Linked DNA regions of Oryzias latipes. The protein of the gene in region 1 interacts with the protein of each later gene in a biochemical or structural test. Links are inferred from orthologs where the notes say so. Each region holds a gene or a part of one and is shown in the gene's direction. Other genes may lie near its edges. The genes, in order: ube2g2, uba6 and prkn.

Evidence for each region.
Region 2: the proteins of ube2g2 (region 1) and uba6 form a complex in vitro, tested with the Homo sapiens proteins (2 studies listed by BioGRID, with this or other methods). The link is inferred for Oryzias latipes from reciprocal best matches to the Homo sapiens genes UBE2G2 and UBA6.
Region 3: the proteins of ube2g2 (region 1) and prkn form a complex in vitro, tested with the Homo sapiens proteins (6 studies listed by BioGRID). The link is inferred for Oryzias latipes from reciprocal best matches to the Homo sapiens genes UBE2G2 and PRKN.

What each region holds. Positions count from the first base shown.
Region 1 is NC_019879.2:26,801,032-26,804,036, reverse strand, and holds the end of ube2g2 (ubiquitin-conjugating enzyme E2 G2), read left to right. Parts: intron 1-577; coding exon 578-696; intron 697-1,749; coding exon 1,750-1,890; intron 1,891-1,962; coding exon 1,963-2,075; 3' UTR 2,076-2,430; downstream 2,431-3,005. UniProt on the Homo sapiens protein: Accepts ubiquitin from the E1 complex and catalyzes its covalent attachment to other proteins. In vitro catalyzes 'Lys-48'-linked polyubiquitination. Involved in endoplasmic reticulum-associated degradation (ERAD).
Region 2 is NC_019859.2:12,642,346-12,646,637, forward strand, and holds the start of uba6 (ubiquitin-like modifier-activating enzyme 6), read left to right. Parts: upstream 1-1,483; 5' UTR 1,484-1,567; intron 1,568-2,050; 5' UTR 2,051-2,099; coding exon 2,100-2,140; intron 2,141-2,258; coding exon 2,259-2,353; intron 2,354-2,460; coding exon 2,461-2,489; intron 2,490-2,591; coding exon 2,592-2,686; intron 2,687-3,237; coding exon 3,238-3,349; intron 3,350-3,737; coding exon 3,738-3,818; intron 3,819-3,910; coding exon 3,911-4,033; intron 4,034-4,198; coding exon 4,199-4,292. Other genes in the region: glyoxylate reductase/hydroxypyruvate reductase, read right to left, coding at 1-3, 345-517. UniProt on the Homo sapiens protein: Activates ubiquitin by first adenylating its C-terminal glycine residue with ATP, and thereafter linking this residue to the side chain of a cysteine residue in E1, yielding a ubiquitin-E1 thioester and free AMP.
Region 3 is NC_019873.2:12,964,736-12,968,386, forward strand, and holds part of prkn (E3 ubiquitin-protein ligase parkin), read left to right. Parts: intron 1-688; coding exon 689-852; intron 853-1,261; coding exon 1,262-1,511; intron 1,512-1,746; coding exon 1,747-1,862; intron 1,863-2,290; coding exon 2,291-2,374; intron 2,375-3,119; coding exon 3,120-3,235; intron 3,236-3,651. UniProt on the Homo sapiens protein: Functions within a multiprotein E3 ubiquitin ligase complex, catalyzing the covalent attachment of ubiquitin moieties onto substrate proteins. Substrates include SYT11 and VDAC1.

The sequences.
Region 1 (3,005 bases):
CTCACTGTTTTCCCAACAAACCATATGTCAAAATCACTTCATACCCGACGTCTCCTCATCACTGCAGTTGCTAATATCCTCGCGCGCCACGCCTCCTTGCCAGTGACCTGCCTTGCAGCGTGCCTCTGCCGTACCAAAGCTTTGGTCCGGAGCAGAATGGTCCGCTTGATGCCAGTCTGAATACAGACCAAACGCAGGGTTCAGGACTCGATCCGGAACAAAGGATTTTCCTAGTCTAGACATACCCTGAAAGATCAGCTGGTGGAGAAAAGCTCTCAACATTTCCACAACAAAGACCAGAAAATAGTGGAGACTCTATTTTATCCCAACACGGTCTTCTGAGACTTGTTGCTGATTTTCTTGCTGTTCGTTTTTATTACGCCATGAGGAATACAGTAGCAGCAGGAGGATCCAACTACAAGGTCTGTAGGATCCTCTCCACAAGTCCTCGCTCTCTGGTGTTTCACGGAGTTTGAAGCTTCTCCAGGCGATGGGTTAGCCTCCAGTGTCGTTGTTGCGTTTTCTTGGTGTTTGGCGTTGTGAGGCTCTCACCGCCGCATGTGCGTTTGTGTTTCAGGGGCCCCGAAGACACGTGTTTCGAAGGCGGAGTGTTCCCCGCTGTCCTCAGCTTCCCCTCCGATTATCCTCTCAGTCCTCCCAAGATGAGGTTCACCTGTGACATGTTTCACCCCAACAGTGAGTCCGCCCACGGCTTTGTGCCTGCTTTCGTCACCATGGCAACAGATGTTGAGCGCACAAACCTGCGACCGCTTTAAGTATCTGTGATGGAGCAACGTTTGATTTCATCTTCTTGATGACTCAGGAAAACTGAAATTTGGATCTTAAAACCTCCACTCACACACGCACACACACACCCCTACACTCACACACGCACACACACACACACACCTCCACTCACACACACGTCTTGTGTCTTAGCCCGTCTGCAGACTTGTCTCGGCACGCTCCAGAGCTTGTTGCTGTTGGCGTGTTTTTACCGCTCTCTGATTAGTGGGGCCGAAGCCGTGATGTCAGGACACGAGCGCTCTGAGCGCGCTCAGTGCTGATGAGAAGACGAAGTGCTTGTCGCTCATCTTCACCAGCATGGCCCTGAGCCGAACTCCACGCTGCAACTGTTAAAGATGAAACGGAAGCTGCCGATAACAGCGGCTCGGTTTTCAGAGGAGATTTCCTGCAGCTGGACCGAGCGGCAGCGCCCTGAAACCCCCTGCACGGGGAGGGGGTCCAAACAGGATCAGATTAAAGACCCACTCCAATAGAATATGTGGTTTTGGTGTTTTTAAAATGTTTTTGTTGCATTTTTCTTGTGATAGAGGACATAGAGCATCGAAGCTTGTAACTGCCTTTCTTAGTATTTATTAATTTAAATCATGGTAAATCAGGAGCAGATGACAAAACAAAAACGCTCTCAGTTGTGATGTAGAAACTCCAAGGGGCAGGCTAAAGTCTCACTGCTCCACTCTCTTCCAATGCACACACTTCTGGACGACTAGATCCATGAACGTCCTTAAAACTGTTCGGCGGGAAACATCCAACATTTTTCACCATATTTGTTGCACCTCTCAGCTTGGGGTTGTGAGGGGCTGTAAGCTAACGGGAGAGAGTGTAAAAAAATAAAAGACGATACGAAATGAAATATAATCCCATTTAGCAGTTTAAAAAAAAAGTTGCTAAGAGTTCAGAGAAGCTAGAACCGGTGAACTAAAGCGTTCTCCTCCCCCGCCCCAGTCTATCCCGACGGACGGGTGTGCATCTCTATCCTCCACGCCCCGGGTGACGATCCCATGGGTTACGAGAGCAGCGCCGAAAGGTGGAGTCCAGTCCAGAGCGTGGAGAAGATCCTGCTCTCCGTGGTCAGCATGCTGGCAGGTATGGAACTCGTTTGCGTCTGACACCAGCAGGGACTCGGCGCCATTCACAGATTCAACCTGTCGTCCTCAGAGCCCAACGATGAGAGCGGCGCCAACGTCGATGCCTCGAAAATGTGGCGCGAGGACAGAGAGCAGTTCAACAAACTGGCTCAGAAGATCGTCCGCAGGTCTCTGGGTTTATGAGGAGGACGTCTCGTCAGGGCGTCTGTCGGTGAAAGACCATCACCATGGAAACCACCAGCACACAGAGCCGCTGACATGGACAGACTGATGGGAGGGTGCTCGTCAAGGCGCGTCAGCAGCCGTACACTGCATGTCTTCTTACCTCCTCTGCTAGTCTCCTCCCCCAGACTCTTGCTTTAGTGGTCACAGCGGCGTTGGACTTCTTCGGACTTTTTAGACTGTCTGTCTTCGTGACGCAGGATCCTCACGATGCGCAGTTGGGCTTTCACAGCCGGGCCGTCGTAGCTCTGCTGCAACGTCTCCTGTGGATTTGTCTGATTTCACAAATAGATCAATAAAGGCAATGAAAGAGTGAGGTGCTTGTTATGTTGGTTTACTCTCTGCAAAATGTGAGGAAGTGTGGGAATCTGCAGCCGTGAATCGCTGCATAACTTCAGTCAACCAGGAAGGAGGTGAGCAAAGAGGAAGACAAGACAACACAAGACTCTTCAAAGTTCTGGATCCTTCAGATTCTCCTCAAACCCTGTCTGAAGGTTGATCTGTAAGTCACAGTTTCTTAAAGTCAGGTGTTTAGCTTTCAAGCACAACTAAGATTTTAGACCTTTGAGTAATCTTACTAGGATTACAGTTTATTTAAAGAAAACTTGTTGCAAGTATTTCTTTATCCATTTTGTGCTGACTCAGAAGCAGATGATAAAGATGTCCTTTGAAAAAGCTTGTAGTTGTTACATAAATACTATAATCAGTTGGTCTAAAGCTCCCTGCTTCACTGCATTCTGATGCATCCACTTGCAAACAAATAGATCCTTCGTTTTCCTCGTCCGAGCTGGAATCTGGCCTAAAACTGTACGTCTGGATAGCTCCAATAATACTTGCCATTTTTGTCGCACTGGTTGGGTTGGGGTTGGTGATGGGCTCGCGGGAGAGAAT
Region 2 (4,292 bases), on another chromosome or scaffold:
ACCCTATAGGGCAAAACATGAAACCACAGATCTGAAGCAACCCCAATATGTCGTCATCAGCCGCAGAGGTCAGAAGTGCATAATGGGTTGAAATGAACAAACTCAAAAACACGGAGGCCTCATTGTTCTATGTACCATCAAAATTTCTATTTTAAATATTTGGAAATTTAAGATATAGATATATTAAAGAGGTTATGGAATTTGCAATCTTACAATTTCAAATGCAAACATTAAAAGTTTTCCTCTAAAAATGGGGATCTTTACAAAACAAATTTGTTGAAAGTGCTTCAATATCAGTGAGCAGCATGAAAGACATTTCAGAAAGACATATTTTTCTAACTTACTGTCCTGATTCTTTGAGGATCTTCAGTCCCTCAGGCGGGATCTGTCGGGTCACATACACCCGCTGGAGGGTGGACATTTCTCTCTGGACGTTACTTGGTACGCCTTCTTTGATGCTCAGGGGAGCAACAGCGATTTTCTGGAGCCGACGTAGTGCCATGCGACTGCCCCACATTGCCAAAGAAGAGCAAGCCTTTGGAAGATGAACGCAGTTCAGTCTGTTTCAGACTTAGTTTTGGCTGCAGCTCAGGGGGGTGGGGGGCTCCTGTGGGAGTTTGACCAATATGCTGAAAGGGAGGGTGCCTCTCAGACTAAGGTGCCCAGGGTTGAAAAATAGTTTTCTGACAAATGCAAGTCAGGGCTTTTTCTTGTTTAGGGTAAAATAGGAAAGAGGCCTTTTAGACTGAATTATATGCAAACAAGAATGCATTCAAAACTTGAAGTAACAGTTACTATTGTGTGTTCGTCATCGTTGTCTTGTAGAGCAACAGGAGTTGAACGGATGTAAATGTTTCACCAAACTGTTGACCTTTGCTTCTCTAAACAGTACAGCACCCAAACATGTTCTGTTCTATTTCTCCAGCTTCTCCAGTTCATCAAACCCTCATTCTTTACCCAAGTCAAATCAGGTCAAAGTGCAAATGATCATACAAAAAAGAAAGGGTTTTTGATAAAAATCAGTACATAAAAATTAAATAAAAAGGGACAAAATTGATATATCCTACAAAGCACATAAATACACAAATAAACAACACAAAAAAGATACAGTATACCATCAAAAAGATTGATAGACTGACTGAATAGAGCATGTGTGCATCAATATTGTCTTGGCAGCTCTGAATCTGAAAAAAGACAGGTTGTTTTTGCCTGTCATCCTCTATTTGACTGCAAAGATGAACAATCTCCTCCGGGTTGTTTAGATAATTTAGTACAGATGGTGGAAATAGCTGGAAAAACAATATGATCAAACACAATGTAATGGTACGTATTAATACCAATAGGGTTTTTTAAGATGATGCCGTTCTGCTAAAAAAAATATGCAGATTTAGTTTATTATTGTTATTATTAGTATTAGTTTATGTACTGTAATACTCATTTTAATCACCACGACATGATTGGATGACTGCTATCACGTGATTACTGTAACCCGGAACCACTTCAAATTTTCAACCACTCACAGCCATTCATTCGCCGAGGACCGTCGCGCATACTGTCAGCTATTAACGTAAGTCGTTTGGGTTTAGTTTTTAACTCTATAAATAATAAAACCTACATTGTCCTCGCTGAGTTGGAGATCTCTCTAAAAGATTGAACAACCCGGAAAGTTGCATATTATATTAACAAATGTGTGTCACCACTTTTTATGAGTTTACGGTGGCTGTCCTCGCTACCGGTAACTGGGCAGAAGTGAAATCCGTGGCTAGCTTGTGGCTAACGTTGCTTTTTCCTCTCGAGATTAGAAACGAGCATGCGCGATCATTATAAACAATTTGTAGTCGTTGTAACATTTGATCAGAACAAGTCCTATGTAACGAGTTCTAACCGTGAACTGTTACTGTTGACAACTTGCCTCCCATCAAATGTCAGCTAGCCGCCAAGCTATACTTTTAATAAATAGGGCGTTGGTCCACATTGCATCTATTTACACTAAAGTGTCTCACATCTTCGATATCAACTTTCTATTTGTTACGTGCACCTTCTTCTTAAGGTAGAGTCGCTATCTTTAAACCGGCTGAATCAGCCCTTTTCCTCCCAGCATGGCTGCAGACTTGATGGAGATTGACGACTCACTTTACAGGCAAGTGCAGTTTTTGGTGTTCTTTTTTTTCTTCTTCTGATGACCTGAAGCTCCACGTGCAGCTGTCTGTCTCCTTGGTGAGTGTAGCTAACATCTTTATTTATGTGCTTCCTAATAGCCGCCAGAGATATGTGCTTGGAGACGGTGCCATGCAGCAGATGGCCCAGTCCTCTGTCTTTCTTAGTGGAATGGGAGCACTGGGAGTGGAGATAGGTGAGCAAGAGAAGAGGACACACGTTTGCACCACAACTCTTTATCTTTGATAGATTCAAAAAAAAAAAAAAAAAAAAAAATCATACTCAATCATTTCCTTCTTACAGCCAAGAATATAACTCTGGCAGGTGTGAAGGTAAGAGGGCTTTTAAACTTTTCTTGTAATAAAATAGCAAACATGTCTTTTTTTTTTTAGTTAAGGGGTTTTATTATATATATATTTTTTATTTTTAAACAGACGGTTACTCTCCATGACACGAAACTGTGTGAGACTTGGGATCTGGGGTGTAACTTCTTCATCCGTAGAGATGACGTATTGAACCAGAGGAAGAGGTAATAATGCATTCTGCAAGTCCAAGCATTGGTTTCTAAAGATGATTAACTGCTATATGTGATTATGAATTGGTTTGTAAAGAACCACTTCAATTAAAAATCAGGTTTTTGGTGTTTTTAATTTGTTTTTGTGGCAATTTTTCTCATGATGGAGGGCATGTATAAAAAAATATTAGGCTTTATACTGCATTTCTGAATATTTTTGTTATTTATTAAAATGAACTACTACTGCCCTGTAGAAACTGTGTCCCAGAAAAAAAATAGCATGATCATAATTAAAAGACATCTGGGAACACGTTTTGAATAGATCAAAAGATGATCGGAGTAGGACTTTAGGTGCAGCAAAAACTCAGGTCTATGCATGGCTTTTGTCAACTCATTTGTTACTAAATAACATGCGTAGAAGCCTAGATGAGAGAACTTGAAAATTAGTTAATAGCCACTTGATCTTATCGTTACTTATGAAAAAGTTTTTTCTTTTTTTTTCTGTCCTTTTGTTGTGGATTTTGTCTTGTGTACCAATACTCAGCCTCTTGTTTTGCCTGTTACAGGGTGGAAGCAGTGTGCCCTCGTGTTGGGGAGTTGAACCCTTATGTTCATGTTGACATGTCCTCCTGTCCCCTGGATGACAACATTGACCTGAGTTTTCTCAAAAAGTATCAGGTAAGTCGACATATTTTATGTTATGTTATGTTCACACCGAGCGTGTGTGGCGCCTAAACCTGGGTTCTATAACACACATTTGGGTGTTCACACTGGACAAGCTGGCAGAGGCTTCTTCTGCTTTTTCTTTTGCTACTGTTTACTAGCACATGTCCACCACCTACATTTGGAAGACGTTATGCTGTTCTTGGACTAGTTTGTTGAATTTTTCCAGAAAAAACGTCAGATCAGCAAGAAATCTGCAAATGCTCTTGTGCTATTGGCAGCTTTATATTAAATTGTACTGTCAACTTTTATGAAAGAAAATTTTTGTCATAATTTAAGACAAGATTATTCCTGTATTCCTGAAGGTATTACTATATACTGACTGCTGTGCTTTCCCCTGCAGTGTGTGATTTTGACAGAGTCCAGCTTGAGCCTGCAGAAGAGAATAAATAAGTTCTGCCACTCCCAGCAGCCTCCCATAAGAGTGAGTTTACAGTCATTCCCCTGGTTTTACCAAGATCAATATTACTTATAACAAAAACGGTTTATTTAAAATAAAAAATATGTCTGTGTTAGTTTATCTCTAGTGACGCTTATGGAATCTGTGTCCGGGTCTTTTGTGATTTCGGAGAAGCGTTTGAGGTCTCGGATCCCACAGGGGAGGAGCTCAAGGAGATTTTCATCCAAAGTATCACTCAGGTAGTCATAATACTTTCACATTCTGTTCTTCAAATTAAGACTCCTCCCTGTTCCTCTGCTTATGCCTCTTGGAATTTACATAAAGTTATCTAATCAGTTATCCTGATATTTTTGTTTTGTTGCTGAACTTGTCCTTTTCTTCTTTTTTTTCCATATTTTTTTCAGGACAATTCTGGGGTGGTTACTTGCATAGACAACCAACCCCATGGTCTGCAGACGGGCCAGAGCGTTATCTTTAGAGAAATCAATGGCATGGTGG
Region 3 (3,651 bases), on another chromosome or scaffold:
GAGGTAGAACCATCTCAGTCTTTGAGGAATTTTATTCTTCAACGCTGTGAGGAGGTTTGACTCAGCCACATGGCAGTTAGATGTCTCACTCACATTATAATTGGCCCTGGCACTACAAACTCCAGATCTGATTGGCTGTTGCACTTGAGCGTGCTCAGTTGGTTCTTAAAGCCTCAGGGAAATTTAGTAGAAGGTGGCTGCACCAACTAGGTGCAATGTGATTGGATAAAATTCACTGATTTATTGATTGGTTGTTTTATACAGTGCCGTTTTGTTCAAGTTTTTGGTTCCCCTGACGTTTTGTCGTCTTTCAAACGGAATGAACTCAGAGGTGGGCAGAAATTCCTACACTTCCATAACTTTTTTTTTTTTGGGGAAACTACGACCAATATCCATAACAAACAACTTCGTCATTCACAGGAATGTGGAACAACTGTTTTTTAAATTCTTTTGCTCAAACAGGTTTGTTTGATGGTTTGAAATTTTCCCTTGTGTTTATAAATCTAAACCCTCCGCTTTGTGTTTCTGTTTGCAGAGGTGACACAGGTCATGCCCTCAAACAGAAAACCAATTTACAATACAACTTCTGTGTGATACGCTGAAAAATGAATCAATAAGTAAGATCTGTGATCTCCATGAATGGTGTCTGCATGAGATTTCATAGCAGTCTTCCATGCTGTGTCCGCAGTGTTCGTGCGCTACAACCTTGGCCCCGGTGTGGCCGTGGAGCTCCAGGAGGGGGCGAGTGTTGCCGAGCTGAAGAAGGTGGTGGGGAGTCAGCAGGGCGTCCCCCCGGAGCAGCTCAGGGTGCTTTTTGCTGGGAGGGAGCTGCAGAGCACCTCCTCCCTGCAGGTGAGGCTGCTGCCTGCTGGGAAAATGAAGGACGCAGGAACTTCTTGTGTCCAAGCAGGAAACCTGCGACTCAGCTCAGTTTGGCCCCACAGGTCAGGACATCTCAACGTTAGGAGGCAGGTTCACCGATAGACACCATCTGAATGAATCAAAAAATGATAAAGTCTTGACGCCACATTTGAAGAAATCTTCTGAAAAGTCTTCGTGTGGATCCTTTTGAAAACAGGGAGATATCCTCAAAAACCAGAGGCTGTCATGAAATCTGAGGCTACTCTCATGGTTGTAGCTCCTTCAAAATAAAAGCCTGTGGAGATTCAGATTGAGCTGAAGCTTTGTTAGGTTGTACTTTGAAGACTTTTTGAGGTGATATTGAGAACTAAACACCATATTCTCCTCTCTCTCCTCCTAGAGCTGTGACCTCCCAGAGCAGAGCACCGTTCACGTGGTCCCTCCCCCTTCAAGATCGTCCTCCTCTCAACTGCTGCTCTTTCAGGAACCTCAAGGCAGCGAGGAGGAGCAAGAGAGCCTTACAAGGCTGGACCTGAGCTCCTCACGCCTCCCCGCCACCCCCGCAGACCTCACAGGTACCCTAAAGGATGGAGAGATGGGGGATGGAGGACAAAGGTTACAGGAGGAAGGTGAACTTATACCTGGGACAAGTAAGTACATGTACTTGTATGTCTGGGTGTGTATAGGTATGTTTGTGGGTGTACAGATGTGCATGCAGGTGTGTTTGCGGAGTTTGTGCAGGTGAGACATGAGAGCCGTATTACAGTCACCTGACAGAGAGGGCGCTCTTGAGTCAGCATTTCAAGTTGTGAAAAGTAGTACAGGTCTTATACCGTTGTGCACCGGTGAGTCTTTGCAGTAATCCAGCTCTCTGTGTGTGTACAGGTGTGCGTAGCCGCAGTTCTTTCTTTGTCTATTGTAAGACCTGCAGGTCCATTCAGCCTGGAAAACTCCGGGTTCGATGCCGGACCTGCAAACAGACAGCGCTCACACTGAGCAGGGTAAGAGCAGCACATCCTGTGTTACTGTTCAGAAAAACCCAGGTTTTGTGTTGTAGTTTGAAATTCTCTTTTCTCAGGCCACCTTGGTAACGTTTACTAAACTGTATGTGGAGTTTAATAGTGTTTAGATTTTTTTTATGTCCCCACTGACTTCCTTTTTTGGTATTTCTAAATTCAACAAGTTTTTGTTCAGAAAAGGAGCATGAGACCATCAAAATGGCGGGATTAACACAACTCTCAATTGTGGAAATTTGCCCATCATAGAAGAAGATTCATTGGTCATCTTCCAGTCAGACGACCACACTGGATTTGTGTTCAGAGTTAATGTTTGTGTTACCCAGTGGTTTCCTAGTGAACTAACCTGGCTCAGTTACTTAACTCTGAACTGCGGGAGCTGATGTCTCACTGAGGATCTCTGTCTTTGTCAGGGGCCATCTTGCTGGGATGATGTTCTAATTCCTGGACGTATCCATGGAAACTGCCAGTCGGAAGGATGCTGTGGCAATGAAGGGGTAAGGCCGGAGCATAACATTGGTAGCTGGGTTTTTTGTGAGAAAATTGTGAACTCTGGTGTTTGGTGGTGATTTCCTTTAGTTCCCAGTGAGCCTGCTTACATGCCACCAAATCCCTTTGTTATCTGAGGTCTCGAGCCATTTTTAGAAAGGATTATCAGATGTCCTCTATCAGAAAATAACGAGATGTCGGATTAATATGCTTGTTTTTTCTCGAAAAGGCGATACCTTCCTTTTTAAATGCCCGCTTATGTCTTCATTGACTTCCTGTTAGAAGAAGTATACAGTGAAGGAGATAAGTATTTGATTTCTTGTTGATTTTCTTTTTTGGTTTGCCTACTTAAAAAGAAATTGACAGTCTGTCATTTTAATGGTAGATTCATTTGAACAGTGAGAGACAGAAAATCAAGAGATCAACTTGAAAGTAGAAATTTCTTTGGATTTCATTGAGGGAGATAAGTATTTAAACCCACTTGCCGAAAATACTAACTGCTTTGTGGCAAAACCTTTATTAGCAAGCAGACAGGCCGGACTTTCCCTGTCGTTGATGAGCAGGTTTCTGCACAAAATTGGGAGGAATTTTGGTTCACTCGTCTTTGCAAATGACTTCTAAATCCTTAAGATTTTGCAAAATTGTCTTCTCTTCATCCCCGATTTTTGAAAAAGCTTTTACTCAAAGTAATTGCGTAGCAGACTTCCTGTTGAATGAGGAAAATAAGCTGCGTATGTGCTTTTATGGTTGCAGGAGTTCTACATGAAGTGTGCTTCTCATCCAACTTCGGATGATGACGTCTCTGTGGCTCTGGACCTCGTCATGATCAACAATAAAAACGTCCCCTGCATCGCCTGCACCGACATCATGTAACACACATGCAGCAGCGCTGAGCACTTCCTGTTTCGCTGTGATTTAGTATTCTGCAGAGATATATGGATTTAGCGATGGATTTAGGTCAGAATTGCATGTGACGTTTGTTTACGTGACCTATATAGAGCCAATCTGCAATCGTAGCAAAACCACACTATCTAAAGTGGAAAATGGGACACAAACACGATTATAAGTCCACATCCAAAGTACATGAATTAAAAAGATGCATTCTCTCCATCTCCTTTCATGTTGTCTCCATCTCCTCTTTGAAACTCTAGCTTCATGTATTTGTGTGGAAAGTTGTGTCGGTGAACATCTAGCTAAATGAAGACACAAAACTGCGGCAATCCTGTTTCATGTTTGGAAATCACATTTCGTGCACTACTATCTATTCCTCAGTGTGTTCTGCCAC